Linked DNA regions of Mus musculus: all the other regions are reported to be linked to region 1. The links are microRNA targets in miRTarBase. Many come from high-throughput screens and were not tested one by one. Region 1 holds a microRNA gene; each other region holds the end of a gene's coding sequence.
Evidence for each region. The annotated mature microRNA mmu-miR-3966 reads AGCUGCCAGCUGUAGAACUGU and lies in region 1 at 3,706-3,726, shown strand. An mRNA with a match to its seed (bases 2 to 7 or 8) in the 3' UTR can be bound and repressed. Matches are read on the target gene's strand: a 7mer-m8 pairs with bases 2 to 8, a 7mer-A1 pairs with bases 2 to 7 and ends in A, and an 8mer does both.

Region 1 (7,203 bases):
TCTGTTACAAAGGAAGATTTGTGTTTGTACAAGTGTTTAATTCTTTTTCCAAAAGTTCAGCAAAAATGTATGTATACCAAAACTCATTGGTAAGCTTGAGATTTTATACATGTAAGGAGAAATGGGATGCTTAAAACAGTTCAAAGAGATGGTCATAGCAGTAATAGAAATAATTAATAGCGTAAATGTAAAAATGCTGATTTATTATAAATGAATTATTTATAAATGAATAGTACAGATGAAATGGGATAATAGTTTGTGGAGAGGAAATATCTTGACAACAGGCATGGTCCTTTGGGGAATTTTCATGGGACCCCTTTGGCCAACAATTCAATTGGATGTAACCTGGTCGAGGTACTAGAACCGGTTTTTGGTGACACCAGACAACAAGTTAGCCGAATGTCTGTCTCCCTCATTATTTGGAGAATACCTTAGGCTTGCTTTCATATATTTTAGGAAGTTTCCACTCATTCAGTTTCCATACCACCCATCAAATATGCCTTTATTCTAGCTACCTCTTCCTGTGTTACCTTCTTCAACAGCATCTCCCTTCTCTCTCCTCCCATTCCTGTCCCCCCAACCCTGGTACACTCATGCAATTTGTTGCATTTCCCTCTCCTAGGGAGATACATGTGACCCCTCCCTTGTCCTTTCCTCTATAGCTGACCTTTCTGGGTCTATAGTTTGTAGTTTGGTTGTAATTTACTTAGTGGTTAATACCCACATATAGTGATTATGTGCCATATTTATCATACTGGGTCTGGATTACCTCACTTTGAATGAATTTTTTTTCTAGTTCCATCCATTTGTATACAAATTTCAGGATGTTATTTATTTAACAGCCAAGTAAAACTCCATTGTATAACTATACCATTTTCTTTATCTATTTTTCTGTTGAGTGACATGTACTTTTTGTTTGTTTTGTTTTACAGAATCTGGCTCTTATGAGTAGAGCATCAGTGAACATGGTGGAACAAGTGTCCATGTGATTGGATTATGCACTCTTTACATATAAGCCCAGGAATTATATAGCTGGTTGAGGCAGATAGATTCCCAACTAACTTACACAAGTCATAAATCTTTAGGTACAAAATGTCTTCATTTTTAAAAAATAATATATTCTTTAATTGGCTAAGAAGGACTTAATAATCTCAGTCCCAATAAATAGTTGTATCAATAATAATTAAGAACATAGTTTTAGCTCCAAATATTTACTATATCTATATCTATAGCTAAATGCAAACCTCAGCAATGCAATTTGTGAAAAGTTATTTCCAATGAAGTGTTTTTTTTTAAAGCAACTTGTCCTATTTTCATATTTAATTTGGGATTTCAACTTTATCTAGAATTACTCCAAAACAAGCCCCATGCGCATGGCTGTAAGAGATTACGTAGAATAGGTTAATTGTGGTGGGAAGGCCACTTTAACTATACTCAGCATTATCCCACGAGCTAGGGTAGACTAAAAAGGGAGCTGAGACCTGTCTCCTTATTGCAGATGAACTGTGACCAGCTGATGCCATGATTTTCCCACACTGATGACTGTGCCTTGGGTATGAAACAAAGTGAACCCCTTCTGACTTAAGTTGCTCTGGTCAAAACTTTGCAGTACACACAAGACAAGCTAATACATCTATGAAATGATGGGATATGTCAACTTGTATGATTTTTAACTAAAGTTTTGTAAACAAATGCATGGAGAGTTGGAAAATAAGCAATATCTACAATTATCAAGCTATTAACTCAATAAGCTACTTACAAGAAACATGCATTTCATGATTGCAATAACATGAAGAATCTAAACTAGACAATTATATAGGGCTAACAAATGGATTTGTAGTTTTAAGCTGCATTGGTAGGGTAAATTAAAAGTAAATAATCAATCATCATAAACGGTAAGTTAGAATGGATCACCAAGTTCTCAAGATGTGGTATACTTGTGCCCATGGTCAAGAATAATATTTATACATCTGAAACTTCATCAAAGGAGTGGATCTTTGATAAGTATTATTGTAATACAGCACTAAATAACAAAGACTTGGACAAATACCACATATTCCCTATAATATGACCCTTGTCTAGATTCTAGCCTCTAAGTTCCATAAGTATATATTTATGTAGGGTTCTTGAGAGAGAATCATGGGGTGGGGGTAGGAAATAGTTTTAAGAGAGTGAGGTAAATGAGCCAATAGACTCAATTAGACATGAAGGTGAAGAGGACGTTCTTGGAGTGGGAGGGTGTAAGCAGGACTGCAGGCTAAGGGAGATCTTTTTTTTTTTAATTAGATATTTTCTTTATATACATTTCAAATGCTATCCCAAAAGTTTCCTATTCCCTTCCCCTGCCCTGCTCCCCTACCCACGCACTCCCACTTCATGGCCCTGGCATTCCCCTGTACTGGGGTATATAAAGTTTGCAAAACCAAGGGGCCTCTCTTCCCAGTGATGGAGAGATCCTAAAGGAGAAGTGGATCAACTAAATTACATATAAGGGTAAAATGCCAGAATCAAACCTGGTACTTTGTAGGTTAATTAGCAGTGGATCAAATAAACAAGAAAGCAAACAAACGAACAAAAACCAAACCAAACCAAAACCAAACAAAAGACCCAGAAAACAACAAGATAAACAAACAGCAAAAACAACAAAAGTAATTGTCTTTGTAGCCTATAATCCTACGGTGTATCCCTTACCTGTCTTTATACTTCCCCAAACTGTCAGCTGTGGTGTAGTGAAAACTGTTATATCAGATTTGCCATTAGTGATGTGGAAAGCAAGCCTGCATGGAACACAAGTTTACTAAATGCATTTACAAGTTTGGAGCATGGTATTGATATGGATGGATATTAAATGATGAGAACATAAGATTCCCCACAGAAGAAAATCAGCACTAAAATGGCTTTGTCTTGTGAACAGCTAGATTCTGTTATCAGAGCCCTCCCAGATGTTCCCAGAGGCTCCAACAGAAACCTTGTGAAAATAAAGACAGGAGGCAATAAGAGAATTCTGGGCCCTGGGGATTTGTTTCTTTATAACAAAACTCCTTCAAAGTAGTTTGTCAATGTTATCAGAGTTTTGAAGACATTACAACACAGTTTATAAAATTTCGAACTTAGTGCTCTCCTTTTTTTTTTTTTTTTTTTTTTTTTTTGGAAATTAAAAAGACTGGGAGCATTTTTTTGATTAGTTTCTTCTTTGTAAGAAGATCGGCTTGCCATAGCAGCGATAATTTAGGATGAAAGAGAAGATATTGCCAGACACAATGAGATAGAAGTTAGAAACCTCTAATAGGATTTAGGATTTATGCTTGAGACCTTTTGTAAGACTGTGGCACAATGCATACAAAGGCATAAGACACCGACTGAAAGAGCAAACCTGGGTTTTGATTTTAAGCAAACAGCACATTTTGTGGACTGAACTGAATAAACATCAGGAACTAATCTCTTACATAAGTGTTTTGTTATCTTCCCAAAGCTGAGCTCACACTCTAGGGAGTAGGGGGCAGGCTTTTATTCCACACACCCCCTTTGTTGGCTGACTCTAACATATAACTAAAGCTGATATATTTGCGATAATATGAATTAAAAAATGATTCTTGTTCATATCTATCAGAAAAAATCAAAATATATGTCATAAGAAAAGGTAGAATTTGTTTTTAAGAATCGAGAAGATTTTTTTTAAAAGAACTTAAAAACACAGGAAAAGACAGCTGCCAGCTGTAGAACTGTTTTTAATTAAAACTGTGTTCATCATGCTTGCTGCAGAGTTTTCTTATTTTTCTCTTACATAAAGATGTACTGATTCAGCGATTATTGAATCTTGGACACATTAGAAAACTTTTTTTTTTTTTTTTGAGACTACTTAGCCAACAGAAATCAGCTGTGCTTCATTAGATAATATAGCCCTATGAGGAAGAATTTTTCCTAAATTGTTTCTCATTGGTTCAGAAAAGATCCAAAGGAATTAAAGATCCTCTTCATGTCTAATCTGACAGAAGCAGTGGTAATAAAATAGCAAAAGTAAGTTTATGTATGGAAAATCAGTGAGTTGAGAAACTATGAAAGTTACACAATCCAGGCTCTATTCATACCTCTGCATGTCACTGTGTTACTACATGCTTCAGTAAAACTTATCTAGCACAGAAGGTAAAAGAAAGTTTGTGTCCTAAGAAACATTATGCAATTTTCATGTGCTATAGGCATATTGTAAAATGACATGCACATGCAAGCACACACACACACATATATATATTGCATTTCTATAAAATAGTTGAACTACCCTTGTAGTTAGGGAATTCAACAGTCCTCTCTTAGAAATTTATAGGCGTTTCAAACAGACAGCACAAATATAGTGTAGAAAACCTGATCATCATAAACCATTAAGGTGGCAAAATTGCTATTAATAGGACACTCTAGCTGACAGAAATTAAATTTATATTTTTCCAGCATCTATAAAATATTTTCCAACATGGACCAAACTTTGTAAGGGTAAAAAAGAAAAGAAAAATCTCAAAACTTTGTAAGTGTTTACATCATAAGAGCATAAGAGTATGCTCTATTATGCCAATGAAATCAACTAAATTTAGTAAAAGAGAGAAAAGAATAACAAGTCTGTCCACTGGAAGATTGAATAACAAACTTCCCAGGTACTAATGGCTCAAGGAAGAATTTCAGAAAAGGTGGAGTACGCAAATTTACACAGGGATAAAATTTGAATAAGTCAAAATATCTGGAGGACTGGAGTGCACACAACACAGTTTTGAAGATAAAACTCACAAGACATATGCTTATACTAAGAAATAAACAAAGGTCTTAAATTGGTAAGTCAACAATATAATTAAAAAAAAAAAAAGAAAAGAAAACCAAGAGTCAAGTAAATTTAAAGTAGGAAAATGGTAAAATAGTTACAGGCAAATAAAAATCAATGTAACCAAACAGCAGAAAACAAAAAGCCCTTGAAAGCATAAAAATAGTGCTTATGAAAAGGCCAGTATAAGAAAATAGTTTATCAACAGATCAATTCATACAGAGTTATAGACTATAACATCTCAACTAAATAGAATTAAACCATGTGGCTAGTATCATAAGCAAAAACAAATCTGAATGCGTAAAAGGCTTGCAGAACAACTCTATATGTGGATGGTTCCATTGGAAAACTCTGCCAAGTCTTCACAAAATAGATGGCAATCCTGTGCAGTCTGTTTTAGAAAAAGAAAAGGAGAGACACAAACTTATTTTATGATAGAATTATACTAATAGCAAAATTAAAGAAAGTGGAATGAAGGAGAATGTAGGCCACTACCAGTTATGGTATAGACCCAAAATTCCTAAGCAAATTGAATTCAGGGACATAGATAAATGATTCTACGGCAAGACAAAAAACAATACATCTCATCAGGCACAAAATCAAACGATGGTACTAGGGAGAAGAATTAGCAAGAAAGAGCACTGCTGCTCTTGCCTATGACCCAGATTTGATTCCCTGCACCACGTGACAGCACACAACTACCTGCAGTAATAGTTAACTGACAAAAGTAAGTTCCATGACTTACAAAAGTTAGGATAAAGGATCTTGAAAGCCTCCACGGCAATAAGATGGCAGATATTTGAAGAAATATTTCTGATTTGGACAATATATTCAGTGAGGTCATAGACTCTGGAGGAGAATGTAATATTTCCACTTTCCAAAACTGGTGTTTTCTACTTGTATCCTAATATTTTTATACCCACCTATAAGTGTAGCTCACATCCATCATCAAAGAAGTTTCTTTTTGCAAGTGGTGGAGGCCATTACAGGTATTAACAACTGGTCAAATATAAACACTGACTAGCCATCAGTTGCTGTACCTTACTTGATAGTTCAAAAACACAAATCTCACCAATACTAGGTGAGAGATTGACAAACACAAACCCATAAAAAAAAATCCTAGTCCCAGGGAACATTTCAGAAACAAGGAACAAAAATGTTGTAAGAGCCAGAGGGCATTGTCCTTTGCTGTGACATTATACCTTTTATGTATGGCAGCCAAATTGTATCCTAGAAATATCAACAATATGGCCATCTTAGCAACACCTGCACAACAGTAACATTAGTTCCCATGCTTACATAGATTGGGAAAATATTACAAGGGCCCAGTCCTCCAGGTGAAGAGCTCCATGTGATGAATGAATGGCTGCCAAGAGGAAGAATCAGTCTTTTATCAGGCAAAGATCCCTGATAATCCACCTGATCCCAGATGGTTACCCCTCAACATGCATATATAGGAACAACATTAATGAACCCACAAGGCTGTATTTGTAAACGTGACGCAATAAGAGTTAAAGATTAAGAGGCCATTAATTTGATAGGGGATGGGGGAGAAATGGAAGGAGTTGGAGAGGGAAGGGTAAGATTTATATAACTATAAAACTTGTATGTTGTATTCTAAAGAGTTGAAAGATTAGTATGAAAAAGTGTGTAAGGATGGTTTAGTTACAGTTCTGGTACAGTGATTAAACACTGACAAAAAGCAACTAAGGAGAGAAATGCATTGTTTCTCACCCTTCCATGTCACAGTCTATAAATTTGGAAGTGATGGCAGCCTCTGGGATTGTGTTTTGCACATGGCTATTGTAGTTCTAATAGAGAGCAGTGACGGCAAGGGGCTTAGCTCAGCACTAGTCTTAGTGTGAGAAACTCCTTGACTTCCATTCCCAGTAATATTAAAAAAATGAAATGAAAAGAATGGCTAAATTTAAAGTTTAGATTTCCAACTAATACCAGGTGAGACATTACCAAATTCCAACACATGAAAAAAAAATCCAGTCTTGACCTGTTTTGGTATGATCTATTTGTTTAAAATAATAGGAATTTGTGTAACCACTTAATGGCTGAGAAAAACTAATAAAAGAACATTTTAGGGCATGTCAGTGTGTGACATTCAAATTCATGGAAGAGATACTTCAGATGCAATATAGTAGGTAAGCAGATATCTCTCTACTCTCTGGCTTTTCTTGTAGAATGAAAGGAGGAAAAAACAAGTTTGCCTTCTAATTTCACTTCAGATTCATTTTCATTCATAAAACAAAACAATCTCCAATTCTTTCTCATGATCATCCTCAAAGGGTAAATGAATCATGCTGATAGCTAGCAAGATAAACATCAGAAAAGCCTGACCTTTAGAAAAATACTTCAGCCAAGTATTTTTCTATTTCAATGAAGTTTGG
Region 2 (7,203 bases), not on the chromosome of region 1:
TGTGGAGAGCTGTTTTGGAGCCGCTGGTCAGCCCTTGACCATCCCTGGGCGAGTGCTTATTGGAGAAGGAGTGTTGACTAAGTTGTGCAGAAAGAAGCCTAAAGCAAGGCAGTTTTTCTTATTTAATGATATTCTAGTATACGGCAATATTGTTATCCAGAAGAAAAAATACAACAAACAGCATATTATTCCCTTGGAAAATGTCACCATTGATTCCATCAAAGATGAAGGGGAATTACGGAATGGATGGCTTATTAAGACACCGACTAAGTCGTTTGCAGTTTATGCTGCCACTGCCACGGAGAAGTCAGAGTGGATGAATCACATAAATAAGTGTGTCACTGATTTACTCTCCAAAAGTGGGAAGACGCCCAGCAACGAGCATGCTGCTGTCTGGGTTCCTGACTCTGAGGCCACCGTGTGTATGCGCTGTCAGAAAGCAAAATTCACACCAGTCAATCGGCGGCACCATTGCCGCAAATGTGGCTTTGTTGTTTGTGGTCCCTGCTCTGAAAAGCGATTTCTTCTTCCCAGCCAGTCTTCTAAGCCTGTGCGGATTTGTGACTTCTGCTATGACCTGCTTTCCACGGGGGACATGGCCGCGTGTCAGCCGACTAGATCAGACTCTTATAGTCAGTCGTTGAAGTCTCCTTTAAATGATGCATCTGATGACGACGACGATGATGATAGCAGTGACTAAGGATATGCTGTGAAGTATTTAATTGACTGCCTGAGAGTCAGCTTTGGGGGCGCTCTCAGTTTGCTTTAGCCATGACTGCCTGAGAAGTCTTAACCTCTGTGCCTCTCTGTATCCTATGGAAAGCAGCCCCATGCTTTCTGCTCCCCTCTGCACTCTCTCACAGGGACAAACTTGCAGATACATCCGATAGGGTCTTGGCTTTCTACTGTCCTTATTTCTAGATTATTTCCTTGTAAGTTGGAAAGAATGTTTATTTAACAGATCTTGTATTACATTTATTTCCCCCTGATGTGGAAAATCTAAAAGCACAGAATGATGGGAACAAGAGTATGATGTGCTTGGTATCTGGCTTTTCCCCAAGCAGTCGATGTCAAGGTTACGACACCAGTGACAGAGCATGGTTTGGAAATCCTTTATTCTCTTTTCTCAATACCAAGTGGTGCCTTACTGTGGCAGCAGTGTCACTGTCACTGAAATAAACGTAAGCCCTACCTTCTTTCTTGTTTGATTGATTTAGACACACTGGTGCTCTTACAGGTGGAGAATGAGTGTTTGATGGATATAGGTAAGCATATTTATTTGACAGCTATGAGGAACTAAATTTAGAGGTTTCTCCAATCTTATATGAATATTTTTCATAAAATAGTTGTGATTATATTTTTACATCTTTTATGCACCAAATTATAATGGTCACATATGTTTAGCCCGTTGCCACTGTTCGGGATTCGATTTGAAACTCATCACTAGTATAGAAGTGGCATATCCCACTAGCTTCTACTTTCCTGATATATTTTTACAAATAACTTTATTTGCTTTACATTATTTCTAAAAGGAAAAATCTGAGGAAACCCTTATATTTTCCAACAGGGTTCCTCTGTGTAGCTTTGCTTATCCTGGAACTCGATTTGTTGACCAGGCTGGCCTTGAATTCTCAAAAATCCATCTGCCTCTGCCTTTGCCTCCCCAGGCACCACTACCACCTGACAAAAATGAAAAGTCTTAAGAAAATCCTCCCAGGAGAACATGGAGTCTTAGAGATCTGGAAGAGATCGGAGTTTGACTAGGTTTCCTGTCTGCAAGTCAATTTTTTTTGTGAAATTATCTTGATTTACAACGTGGTATTGTATTTTACAGAGTTCATGAAGCCCCAAACAATTTTTATTTTTGTAAAACAATTGTATGTTTAATCTGTTTCTGAAATCATTTTGCAATATATGGAAATAGAGTAGCAGTTGATATTTCTAAATTGTGACCATTGTCCGAGATTGCTTTGAGAACTGGTAGTTATTCTCTTTATGTTTGGAGGCAGCCATTAGGCTGTAGGCCTGCTTACTGCATAGCACTGGACGTGCCAGGCACATTCTGGCCCCTGGCATGCTTAAGTAACTAGGTTTTCAAATGTGGGAAACCAAGCTGAAAGGTCTGTTTTGTTTTGTTGTTGTTTTGTTTTGGTTTGTTTTTTTTTTTTTTTCAGAGTTCTTTTCAAACCCAGTTTCCCTTTTTCAAACTTTAAAACCTGCATAATTCTGCAGATGTCCTAGGGTTTGAGTCAGTAACTTGTGAATGAAAGTCATTGGTATTTGGCTTTGTGGTTACAGTACTAATTTTACTTTGCTGCTCAGTTTTGAAAGTGTGTGAGCTACATAGGTCTCCCTGTAGGAAATGTGAAAAAAAGCACAATAGAACCAGGCTAGGGGCTTTGTTCCTGCTTTTTGTTTTGTTTGGTTTTACTATCAGATGGATGGATTTGTGTTTGTCTCAGAGCAGCATATACATGCAGTCAGTAAGCATGTTTGAAAGGACCATAAAAACCAGAGAAATGCTGATGGGAACTTGGAAGTTCAGAAACCAAGGGGAAATGTCCTGAGATAACATTTGCATTGTCGACCTCAGTTGACTGTTTTTACAATAAAAATATTTTGCAGCTTATTTCCTGTGTTTTTATATTGTAATTGAATATTTTCTTCCTTTTCTAACTAAGATATTATGCATAATTCCACCTTAGTATATATTAGATATGAATGCTTAGGATGTAGACACTAATGAAGAATAGTTTTTTGTTTTTAGATAGACCTATTTTGGCCTCAAACGGACTATGTAGCAAGTAGTAGCTCTAATTGCGAAGCTGAGAATTCCCTTGAACTGATCCTCGTGCCTCCACATCCAGAGGACTAGAATAGCAGGCTGGACTGACCCAGAGTACTGAGGTCCTTCGTTCTTCTAGGCAAGCACCCACCAGCTGAGCCACACTCCAGCCCTGTCCACTCTTTAGGAGGTGCTGATGCAGGATTGGCAGAATTGCTTTTTTTTTTTTTTTTTTTTTTTTTTTTTTTTTTTGACTTGGGAAACTCTGTTTATTGATCCTCAAACCCAATACAAAACTCTGCACAAGTTTTACAGGTCCTTGACCTTGAGGCAACACAGCTGTGCTTGCTAAAGTCGGCTTGCTTGTCTCTCTGGGCTCTGATTCTGCTTTCTGAGACACCAAGAGGATTTCTCCTGCTCTCCTCCTCTGCAGTCTCCAAGTTGGTGATCATCATCTGATTGTGGTGGAGGGTGGAGGAGAGGAGAGGCAGAAAGACCCAGAAGTTTCTCTGTAGGCTTAGAGAAGTGAGCCCCACAGCCAATCCAAAGCCGGATCTGGTCCAGGTTGAGGGCAACAAAGTTTTCTCCGTTACTTTTGGGCAGTGGATCATCGGAGCCCAATTGCTCCAGAAGTGGCCATTCCTGTAACACTTGTGAGCAACCACAATGTGGTAAAAAGGCTGATTGGTGCAGCCACCCGAAGCAAGGTGTATGCTTAGGTGGACTCTCTGATAGGCTTTGCAGAAAAGGCGGTGAGGTGAACCATGGTGCTTCTGCGAGCTGCTCTTAGGCTGTCCCCCTCTCGGTGACTCTTAACATCTTAATTTTCCAAGAGTAGAAAGAACAGGGAGATTGACTGGTATTACCCCCTTTGCTATCCAGTTAATTGTCCTAGTAAGTAAGCCACATTAAAATGATAGTTGAAAAGCTTTGGAGATACACGTTTTTATCAGGGGCAATAAAGAATTTACCACTTGCATTGTTTGTGCATGAGCCTGCGAGTTTGTATGGAGAAAATGTAATTGTGTGCCTTAACTTACAAATTTTAGCAGCTTTATTTGAAACATCCTCCATTTTATTTATCTACCTGCAGTCCACCTGTTTGAGATGTTCAGTTCAGTGATTCATGTTCATTCAAGCTATCACTGAGCTTTGGATAGCTTTATCCTGCCCGCCCAGGAGGCACTCCCTGACCCCCTGGCCTTGGGCACCCACTTTCTGTCTCTGTTTATCTTTGCTCTTTGGGGGCTGGGGTAGGGGATTTATAGTGAAATCATTCACTGTAGCCTCTGGGGACCCATTTAGTTCACTAAGATGTTCTCATGGTTCATTTGTTTAGCATTATTGAACACTTGACACTCTTAGTATCAAATAATTTTTTTCAGTTTAATTTATTTAAAGTTAATAAACTCCTTGCACTCTTTTGGGTCAGTGTGTGTGTGTGTGTGTGTGTGTGTGTGTGTGTGTGTGTCTCCAGTATCTCTTAACTGTCAAGTTGACATAAAACTAGCCAGCACAGTGAGCAAATCGTTTAAATATCTTCTAAAAGGGACTTATGTTTACGTCTGTGTGTATGCCATGTGTGTTTGGCTTCCCTTGGAGGCCAGCATAGAGGAATGGATCCCTTCAGGCTGATTAGCCTGATGTGGGCACTGGAAACGTAGCAAGTTCAGGGTATTAAAACTGGATACTATAGTGTTTTATTCTGGGACAGAAGCTTGGCTGGTTTCCCACTCAGCATCATGACTGAGGATTACATCCAGGCTCCCAAGCTCTGGAACCACATGAGGGCAGCATCAGGGTTAGTGATAAATATGTTATCTTTTCCCTAAGTATCCTATAATCAAAAACAATTTGCAAATATTTTCCTTTTTTTCACATTTCCCTTTATTTTTCTGAGACAAGTCTTGCTAATTTATGTAATTTATTCATGGCTGAGCTAGACTGGAATTTCTGATGGATTCTTGTGCCTCAGACTCCCAAATCCTGGGATTACAGGCAAGTACCACCATGGCCAGCTCTTTCCTGCCCTGGTTACCAAGACTTCCTCCTGTGTTTTCTACTGACTCCAGTTACTGATCCACAAAACAGTGCCCACAGTGCCTCCAGAAAGGACTAGGGGCTGTCGGGCTGTCTTCTAGTGAAATAGAAAACTCATTACACTTCATAAGGAATTTCCAGGTAAATAAAACACTGGTGAATTTCATGAGCTTTTCTCTTCCAGTCAGTGGGTAAATTACACTTCTGAATATGCAGTGGCTCAGAAGACAGAAATCGTCCGTCATCTAGGACGTGCTGAAGACAACGCCAGTGTTAGTGAGAGCTGCATGAATGTAATGTAAATGCCTTTTCTGCCCACTTACTACTAGAAAGGACTTAACTGCAGAGATTTTTCTAAAGACATACAGAGCATTAGCACCTATACTTTTAGAAATGTTTAGTGTCCCTAGTCACCAAGGAACAAAGCCACGATGAGCTCACATGGCTATTATCAAGATGAAGGTAGCATGTGTTGGTAAAGGTGTGGGGAAGGGAACTCTGGCATGCTGGGTAGGAATGTAAATTAGTATAGCCATTATAAAAGGACCACGAAAATAAGTAAGGGCTGAGGTGATGGCTGAGCAGCTAAGAGTGCTTGCTTGGGTTCCAGGTAACAGGGGTTAAATCTGGCAAATTAACAATTGCCTGTAACTCCAGATACTCCAGAGGTATCAATGCCCTTTCAGGTTTTACACTTACATACAAATGGCTCTCACAAGTGAGCAGGTGCACACACAATTTTAATACCCTGAACTTGCTACGTTCCCAGCGCCCACATCAGGCTAATCAGCCTGAAGGAATCCATTCCTCTATGCTGGCCTCCAAGGGCAGCCAAACACATGGCATACACACAGACAAGTCCCTTTTAGAAGACATTTAAACGATTTGCTCACTCTGCTGACTAGTTTTATGTCAACTTGACACAGTTAAGAGATACTAGAGCTGAGGCGTCTCCATTGAGAAACCCTCCATAAGATCTGGCTGCTGGCAAGCCTGGAGGGCTTTTTCTTAGTGACTGATGGGGGAGGGCCCAGTCCTTTGAAACCCTTGTGGGTGGAGCCACCCCTGGTAGAAGCAGGTTAAATATCCCTTTAAGAGCCAGCAAGATTTTGCTGAAAGGACCCTGATATAGCTGTCTCTTGTGAGGCTCTGCCAGTGCCTGACTAATACAGAAGTGGATGCTCACAGTTAGCTATTGGATGGAACACAGGGCCCCCAATGGAGGAGCTAGAGAAAGCACCCAAGGAGCTGAAGAGGTCTGCAATCCTATAGGTAGAACAACAATATGAACTAACCAGTACCCCCAGAGCTCGTGTCTCTAGCTGCATATGTAGCAGAAGATGGCCTAATTGGCCATCATTGGGAAGAGAGGCCCATTGGTATTGCAAACTTTATATGCCTCAGTACAGGGGAACACCAGGGCCAAGAAGTGGGAGTGAGTGGGTAGGGGGGCAGGTCAGGAGGAGGGTATAAGGAACTTTTTGGATAGCATTTGAAATGTAAATGAAGAAAGTATCTAATAAAAAATTGGAAAAAGAAAATAAAAGAGCAAGTCAGTAAGCAGCCTCCCTCCATGGCCTCTGCCCCAGTTCCTGCCCGGCTTGAGTTTCTGCTCTCACTGTTTTTGATAATGAACTGTTCTATGGAACTGTGCATGAAATAAACCCTTTCCTCCTCAGTTGCTTTTGGTCATGGTGCATCATCACAGCAGTGGTAACCCTAAGTATGTATGCAAACTGATCTTTCACGCCACATCTGTCTTCTCTCAACTCTGGCCTTACCCAGGAGATCCTTGGCCTCCTCGTGTAGAAGATCTCTTCACCTGATCTTGGATCTATAACTGGATATATAAGTGCTGCTCTCTTCAGGAGGCCCTCTCCGCATGCTCTTAGCTCTCACAACTCAAGGCAGGTTGCTCCCCCAGGGGGGCCTGTCCCCTCTCTGGGTTCTGCCTCCTGTCCCAGGCTGCCCTGCGCATTGCTCAGCCTGCGCAGGCTCTGTGCCCTGGGAAAGTCCTGTCGGCAGGTTCTTTCCTGGTTCGTCCCTTGCCTTGGCCCTCTTGCTGGACCCTAACAATGAAGTGTTCAGAAGGAAACCGGACGAGGAATGCCTTTCACAGTGTATACAAACTGTTCATTTTGAGAAAGAGAGAAAGAAAGAAAGAAAGAAAGAAAGAAAGAAAGAAAGAAAGAAAGAAAGAAAGGAAGGAAGGAAGGAAGGAAGGAAGGAAGGAAAGAAAGAGAAAGAAAGAAGAAGAGAGGGAAGAGGGGAAGAGGGAAGGAATAAAAGGAAAGGAGCAAGGAAGGAAGGCAAAATATGTTTTTTTGTGTTTTTGTTTTCTTTTGATTTTTTTTTGTTGTTGTTGTTTTTTTTCAAGA
Region 3 (7,203 bases), not on the chromosome of region 1:
ATGAACTTGTGATCCTTCTGCCTCAGAGTCTGGAGTAGGTGAAAACAGGTCTGGCTTATGAAAAGTAACCTCCTTAACTCTCAATACTAGCATTCTCAGACTCAAGCAAGTCACAGTGAGTATTCAGCTCCTTTGTCAGATACAAATCAAAGGCAATGTTTAATATTTGCATAGGAGAACTGCCAGGCTATGAGTAGAAGAACTTGTATTTAGATATAACCTCTGAGTTTTAATGAGTCTACTCAATAAATAGGCATCGGGTATGCATCATGTAGTCCCTAAGCATTGGGATCCTTGATGTATGAACTGCACCAGTTTCTACTATTCTAATCCAGGCAACTAGTCATGTCTAAAACATTAGAACATGAACGTTGTTTTTCAAGAATGACAAAGGATGTGCCTAACTATAAAATTGGCAGGACAGTCACCTCAAGCTCAAGACCAGCCTGGACTATATGACAAGATCGCGTCTAAATATACACACAACAGAAGACCCTTCAGTTAGCACAGTTTGCTTTTTTTCAGACAGGGTTTCTCTGTACATCCCTGGCTGAACACTCACTCTGTAGACCATGCTGGCCTCAAACTCTGAGATCTCTCTTTTTCCTAGTACTGAAATTAAATCGATTCAGACTAATCTTGAGTTAATCTGATCCATATTTCCTTTAAAAAGTAGCTTTTATAAAATGATTGAAGACAGCTCTCAACAGGCAGGGGCAGGCAGATCTGCGGGTTAATGCATAGCCAGTTCCAGGCCAGCCAATGAGACTGTCTCAAGAACATAGCTATTTCATACTCATTTTATGTGAACCTGGCAAATGCTTTCAGTTGGAGAAAACATAAAGGTACCCCCACCCTGCAACCTTACAATATCACTGAGCTACACCCCCCAACCTGGAACAAAGATATTTTGGGGTTTCTTTTTTGAGTTAAGGTCTCCTGTTGCTTTGTGGTGGAAGACGACCTTTAATTCCAGAGCTTCCTGTTTGGTCTGTGTCACCAAAGCTAGCTAGAGACCTTTCACAAAAAAATAACATGGGCTATGTTTTTTAAAACCTGATGCATTTTAGTGTCTTTCTGTTTGTTTTGCTGTGTTTGGTTCCCCTAACCCCAGCATTGGGACTGAAGCTAGAGCTTCACACAGGTTTGGCAAGCAGCCTAGCACTCCAGCCTCTCATATGGTTAGCAAGGGGGTGAGAGTTGCCACACTTGGGAGTAATCTTCAGTTTGATCCCAAGAAAGCAGAAAGGAGAGAACTACAGGAAACAACCTTCACCCTTGTGCTGCTGGTGTGTCCCTCCGCCCATAATAAAAGAGGGTGAGTTATTTATTAACAGTCTGGAGGCTAACGTGTTTGAAACAGAATAAAAATGCTTCAGCGACTTAAATGTTTATCAACTTAATAATCTGAACACTTAAAGGAGTATTATTGGTCTGGGCAGTGGTGGCGCACGTCTTTAATCCCAGCACTCGGGAGGCAGAGGCAGGTGGATTTCTGAGTTTGAGGACAGCCTGGTCTACAGAGTGAGTTCGAGGACAGAAACCCTGTCTCGGGTGGGGGTAGGGTGGGGGTGGGGTTAGTATTATTGGAAAGACCACGATCTAAGCTTATATATACTGAATCAATACTATTATTTTTATGTAACACTAATCTGTGTCATTATCAAGGCCCATTTTGGTTAATGCTGTCTTCTTATCCTTTTTTTCAGGTTATTATCAACTCTTACTTTGCTAAGCAAGAAATTGAACTGTTACAAGATCACCCTTGAATGTCTACCACAAAATGTTGGTTTCTACAAAAAGTTTGACTATACAGTATCTGAAGAAAATTACATGTGTCGGAGGTTCCTAAAGTAAAAACCACCATCAAGAGGTTAATGCTACAAAGCTTAAATAACTGTTTTAGAGTTCATTTTTGTTGCTGCAGCCCAGTGAGCTCCCTAACTACTAGACTGAAGTACACTGTGGTGTGCCAGTGTGTAGTAACCTGGGAGGATGCTGGGAATACAAATAAAGGGGAGGATTTTTAACCAAAGGAATATATTTTCAACTTGAATCTTTTCTTGCATTGTATTTTTCTAAAGTTTGTCTTCATTTCTTGGTAGTCAAGTGTATGGGTAGTAAACATGTCTGCTCTATGCTGCTCATTTTTAAATATATGTATATACATATATATTGAATAAGGGTGTTTCTTACCATAAAATTATTTTTGTCTCATACATCTAAATAGACTTAAGGTGCACCATTTCTCATTGGACACTTCTGTTATCATGACCACCAGATACATATTTGTTGTTGATCCTAACCCTGCAGTCTTTTTAAAGCAACAAAAGAAAAATGGGACAAGGTACAACAGCTTAAATAACGATTTACTAAGTGTAAAGTTTTGTGCAGATACTGTACCACCTGCCACCTGTCACATGGTATTAGAATTATCCAGGGTCCTTTTCATTTGTCAATGAGCAGCTCCCAGAGCTGCTACCCTGGTTTCCGTACCATTGACATTTGAAGCCTTTGAGTCACAAAAAAATGTTCAGTACTTCCTAAATTTAGTATAGCTTTAAAATGATGGTAGCTTTTCTATTTAATGTGATTATAATGGTACTATTATTCTGATCCCTGTCCTTTCTGTTTTATTTAAATGATTTTTAAAATAGAATCAGATACTTTATTAATAGTGGTTCTAATCTTTTGCATTCCATGTTATTACATTAAACTTGTTTATATGAATAGTCTTTCATGTTAGAATCTTGTCTTGTGTTTTTCTTTTTTGTTGAGACAGGGTGCCCAGGATATCCTGGAACCCCTCACACATGTTCTAAGAACTGGTATTCCAGGCATGTACCACCATGATCAGCTTCAGTCTATTAGGTTAAGACCTGGCTCTTAATACCCTAGGTTTAAGTATCTTTGTACTTCAATTGGACTTTGGATTTTCCTGCAGTCATTAGGTTTGTCTTTGATTTTCAGAGTTCTTTAGTTCTGTAACCATGACACAGCTTCATTAGGTTTTATCTATGTTAAAAAAAGCCTTTTCCCCAAAGTAAAATTTAGCACTTTATTTTTTAACATTAAACTCTTTGGTAAGACAGTCTGTGATGTTAGTATTTCAATAAAACCCATGGAGTTGTGTTTTCTCTTAAATCGTCTTACAGAAACAGTTGTAGCATGTCACCAACTGAAACCGTTTTAATATTATTAAATTTTTACTCACCTTAATCTGTGGGAGTAAAGCTGGGTTACTTCTACCCAGAAGACAAAGAGGTCTTGAGGCATAAGGAATATGAATGAGCTTCTCAATCATTGCAAGTACAATGGCACAAGAGTTTTAATACAACCACCAGTCTTCACAAAATAATTTTAATACTTTGTGCCCAGGCTAGCAGCATCTTGCACTGTGACATTCCTATACATACATAAGCATTTTATCTGAGTACAAATGTTAAAAGTAGAATAACGTAAGCAATTGCCTATACAGAGGTAAAGAGACACATATGTTACTGTTCTTGAGTCATTTTTGCTGCATAGTAAATTGCAATTACATGTCAGTATCATGTTACTGATTGAGAAAACACTTTGAACTGTGAGGTATGGTAGCTCCCTGTAAGAGAGCAGAACATGTAAACCTGAATATTTTGAGTGATTTTTTTTTTAGCTGCCATGGATGGGAAAGACAAAAGAATTATCCAGCACTCAAGACTCTAGAAACTTATTTTCCTAATAAAAATAAATAAACAAAATCCTTGAGTAATTCTCAGCTATTTCCTACTATTTGCTCATTGGAGTGTTGTTGAATGGACAAAGATACTGTAAATACTGACGTGAAGTTATGCTTTAGGATTGTGAATTAAACCGGTTATTTAAAAAGATCCATCAGGTAACTGCTCATTTACTTTACATCAAGTTGACATCCTAATATATACATCCAACTTCATAATTCAAGATTGCACTTAAATACTTCTAATTCATGTGAATTCCATAGCAGTTAAACAATTAAGAACCTTATGTTTTATTACAAAGGACATGCTTAGCATTTTCTGACATTACTTCTAGACTCAGATTAAGTAGATTAAGTACAGCCCTACACCCCTTCAAATGAATATTCTGTTCTACAAGCGGTTGAAAGTTGGTAGCAAAGTTATCACACTTGAACATTCCTACTATAGAGTTGGTATAACATCTAATAGACAAGAAACTAGCATGAATCAGTTAAACTAGGAGAAGACTCCCTTCTCCACTCCAGTTTCCAGGAGCTGTCTCAAACTTTCAAATGGGGAGTAATGAAGTTCCCTAAGTTTTGATAAGAAAATGTATAGTTTTAATTATGAACCCAGCTTTCATATTTAATACTGAAACTGGGTGGACATTCATACATTATTCAAGTTGTCTAGAGAATAAATCATGATTGGATAAATTTATCATAGTTAACTTACAAAACATCACTAGAAATGGAACCTAAGACAGCTACTGACAGTAAATACAGAGGAAGAAAAGAAACTTGGAGGCTTCTTATGAAAGGACAAACTTCATCTGTCCACATCAACTGTGCTCAACATGGTGGCAGTCCCTAGTGTCTGAGACTGTCTCCAGTATATCGTGCTGGATAGGCACTTTATGTGAGAAGAAAAAAATGACAGTGGATAGAAAAATGGAAAATTACCAGCTACAAATGAATGTCAATAACCTCTGTTTTTGGACAGACTCCTATTTAAAGAGGAACATGTATTTTTATAAAACTTATTTTAAAAAGTTACTTCACATGTCTCATCTTGAAAATCCAATTTTTTTAAAATAGAGATTGCTTTAATCACAATTTCTGTTCAGTGAGCCATGGATTATGGGTTGACTCCAAGAGAGATCTTTGTTGGCCTGTATGTATACAGGGATTTTTGAATACCCAATGTAATCTTGGCTCTGCTAGACCACCATGCCTGTGACACAACAGAATTAAAAGCAATGCTTTTTTTCAGAGCTGAAAGATAGGAGATGGGATGGGAAACCAGAAGAGGCTAGAAATCAAGGTAACAGTAATTCTGGTTTATATTCAGGCTCCTACTGTGAAGGACAAAGAACCTTTCTATACTGTTGATGTCATAGGGTGGTGAGCAAAGCAAGGAACTTAAGTGCAACCTGTTACCTTACACAGTGCCTCATGGTACCCTGGGAGTGTGCGGGCATCATTCCCAACCGTAAAGCACCTCGAAAGAGGGCTGAGACACGTGAGCTATATATATATAAAGGAGCTGTGTTTGTGCTACCCTAAAGTCATCATGTACAAAAGTTAAAAACACTTCTCTCTTCTGCACATCACATTTACAGTAGTAAAATGTTTTTTGTAGAACAACTTTTATACATATAGATAAAAACATGGAAAACTAAAGAGCCATAAAATGATTTTGCTAATGCAAATTATGGTACAAATTTGAATTAATTTAGGAACAAGTTAAAACAGTAATCTACAATACACTGAAGCCACCCACAAATTGCTTTCCCCAATGGATACATCTTCAAAGCAAAGCTGTCAGCTGAACCTCAGAGAAATAATTAACAGAAAATAGAAGGAAGTGTCTCATTCCAAATAATTTACTTTCTTCAAGCATCAGATTTAATTTATGATTTTAAAACAAGAAATTACAGAAAAACGTTAATAGCTGTTCACTGCTTTATATACTAATTTAGAAGTCATGAGGATTTGCTTGTTTGTTGATGCAAGGCACTTTTCTTTTGGGGGTTTCATATTGAAGAAACAGTGCTACATTGGTTTGGTCTACTTTGAACCATTTTGGACAAAAGTTAGAAGAGCTCAGCAACTCTGAAAAGACCAAGTCTACATTTGGCTTAAACAGCAAAGAGAAAAAAGTCATGTGGAAAATATAACACTATCCTTATTTTTTGGAGTATCTGGTTTTAGAAAGTAAGACCTCTTTCTTTAATCATTTCAACTTTTCTCATTTAGAATAAGGGAGGCAATTAGAAAGGAAGTATTAACTGTATTAAATTGTAAAGTAGGCTAGTTGGCTAAAGTCATGATTTAAAGATACGGGACCAAGAAGTTTAAAAAAATGGTAATCAAGTTACTGAATTATACTAAAAAATGTGGACAAGTTCTACATTTTGTTAATGTTTTTGTAAGAGGCTTCATCATAAAATTGAACTGTAAAATTACCTTAAATGTAATATATATAACACAAAATGAGTTTTTAGGAAACATTAGGAAATTTTTTTGTTATAAATTATCCAAAATCTATAAACAAATCCCCCTAACTTGTATTTTGTTTAAAGTAATAACTTTATATCATACAAATAAATTTCAAGTATGAAAAGTGCATTATTGCAATAATACCTCTTTGCAAGTCCAAAATTCTTGGTTTATAATAAAACCATAAAGGTTTTTTTGTTTCTTTTTTTCTCTTTTTTTTAAGTAAACCCATCACCCATCAGTGCCATCTACTGCATAAGTCCAACATCTTAAAGTGTTGCAGAGAAACATGTCTGGAAGCAATGTATAATTGAAAAGAAAGTATTTGTGAGTTTACCATTTCACATTATCATCACTAGGATCCTCTCCTTTCCAGATGGAAGCTCACACCCATGTAACAGTCCTCACAGGTCAGCCGTTCTGTGCGGTTGCCACTTGCATGTTTCCAAAGTCGTCATCTTCCTCATGTGTTCTCTTCACACTACCTACAGGTTATTGAATGAACGCACAGTGAGAACTTCACGTTGGGATACCACAAGCAGCAAAGTAGCTAGGTGAGTTCCAAGCTAGCCTGGGCTACATGGCTAATTCTGGGCCATCCAGCACTACATAGTAGGAAGGATGGCTCAGCAGTTAAGAACCCACTGCTCCTTCAGAGGACCTAGCTTTGGTTCCTAGTATTTACTTGGTGGCTTACAACCATCTATAACTCCAGTTCCAGACATTTGCTGCCATCTTCTGATCTTCTCAGAAACCTGGCATGCACGTAGTATATGTGTGTGTACATACATGCAGGCAAACACTCATAATAAAGCTTAAAAACAACAAAAACTCAAGACAGGAGCAAAGAGAAATTGAGATAACTTGAATTGCACTGTTGAACTTGAAACACACTTTTTTATGTATTAATCACTTTTTTCATTTTGTTCTGAGACAAGGTCTTGATATAATCTTCCTGCCTCCATCACCCAGGACTGAGACTTTTTTTTTTTTTAAGATTTATT

Region 2: the mRNA of Plekhf2 is a reported target of mmu-miR-3966. Seed matches in the 3' UTR shown: 8mer at 1,151-1,158.
Region 3: the mRNA of Styx is a reported target of mmu-miR-3966. Seed matches in the 3' UTR shown: 7mer-m8 at 3,655-3,661.

Annotation. Positions count from the first base shown.
Region 1 is chr10:97,419,788-97,426,990 of GRCm38, forward strand. Mir3966 (microRNA 3966) reads left to right here and starts at 3,691; the gene lies at 3,691-3,775. All of the region lies in intron 1 of Gm34114 (a long non-coding RNA gene), which reads right to left.
Region 2 is chr4:10,984,088-10,991,290 of GRCm38, reverse strand. Plekhf2 (pleckstrin homology domain containing, family F (with FYVE domain) member 2) reads left to right here. Exons shown (of 2, transcript NM_175175.4): 2 at 1-2,629. The coding sequence ends at 700. It also overlaps the pseudogene Gm2401. Among named protein-coding and RNA genes, the nearest start is that of Plekhf2, 20 kb to the left of the region's middle.
Region 3 is chr14:45,372,993-45,380,195 of GRCm38, reverse strand. Styx (serine/threonine/tyrosine interaction protein) reads right to left here. Exons shown (of 11, transcript NM_019637.3): 11 at 3,312-6,684. The coding sequence ends at 6,611. It overlaps Gnpnat1 (glucosamine-phosphate N-acetyltransferase 1), which reads left to right. Exons shown (of 6, transcript NM_019425.2): 6 at 1,710-3,775. The coding sequence ends at 1,857. Among named protein-coding and RNA genes, the nearest start is that of Gnpnat1, 12 kb to the left of the region's middle.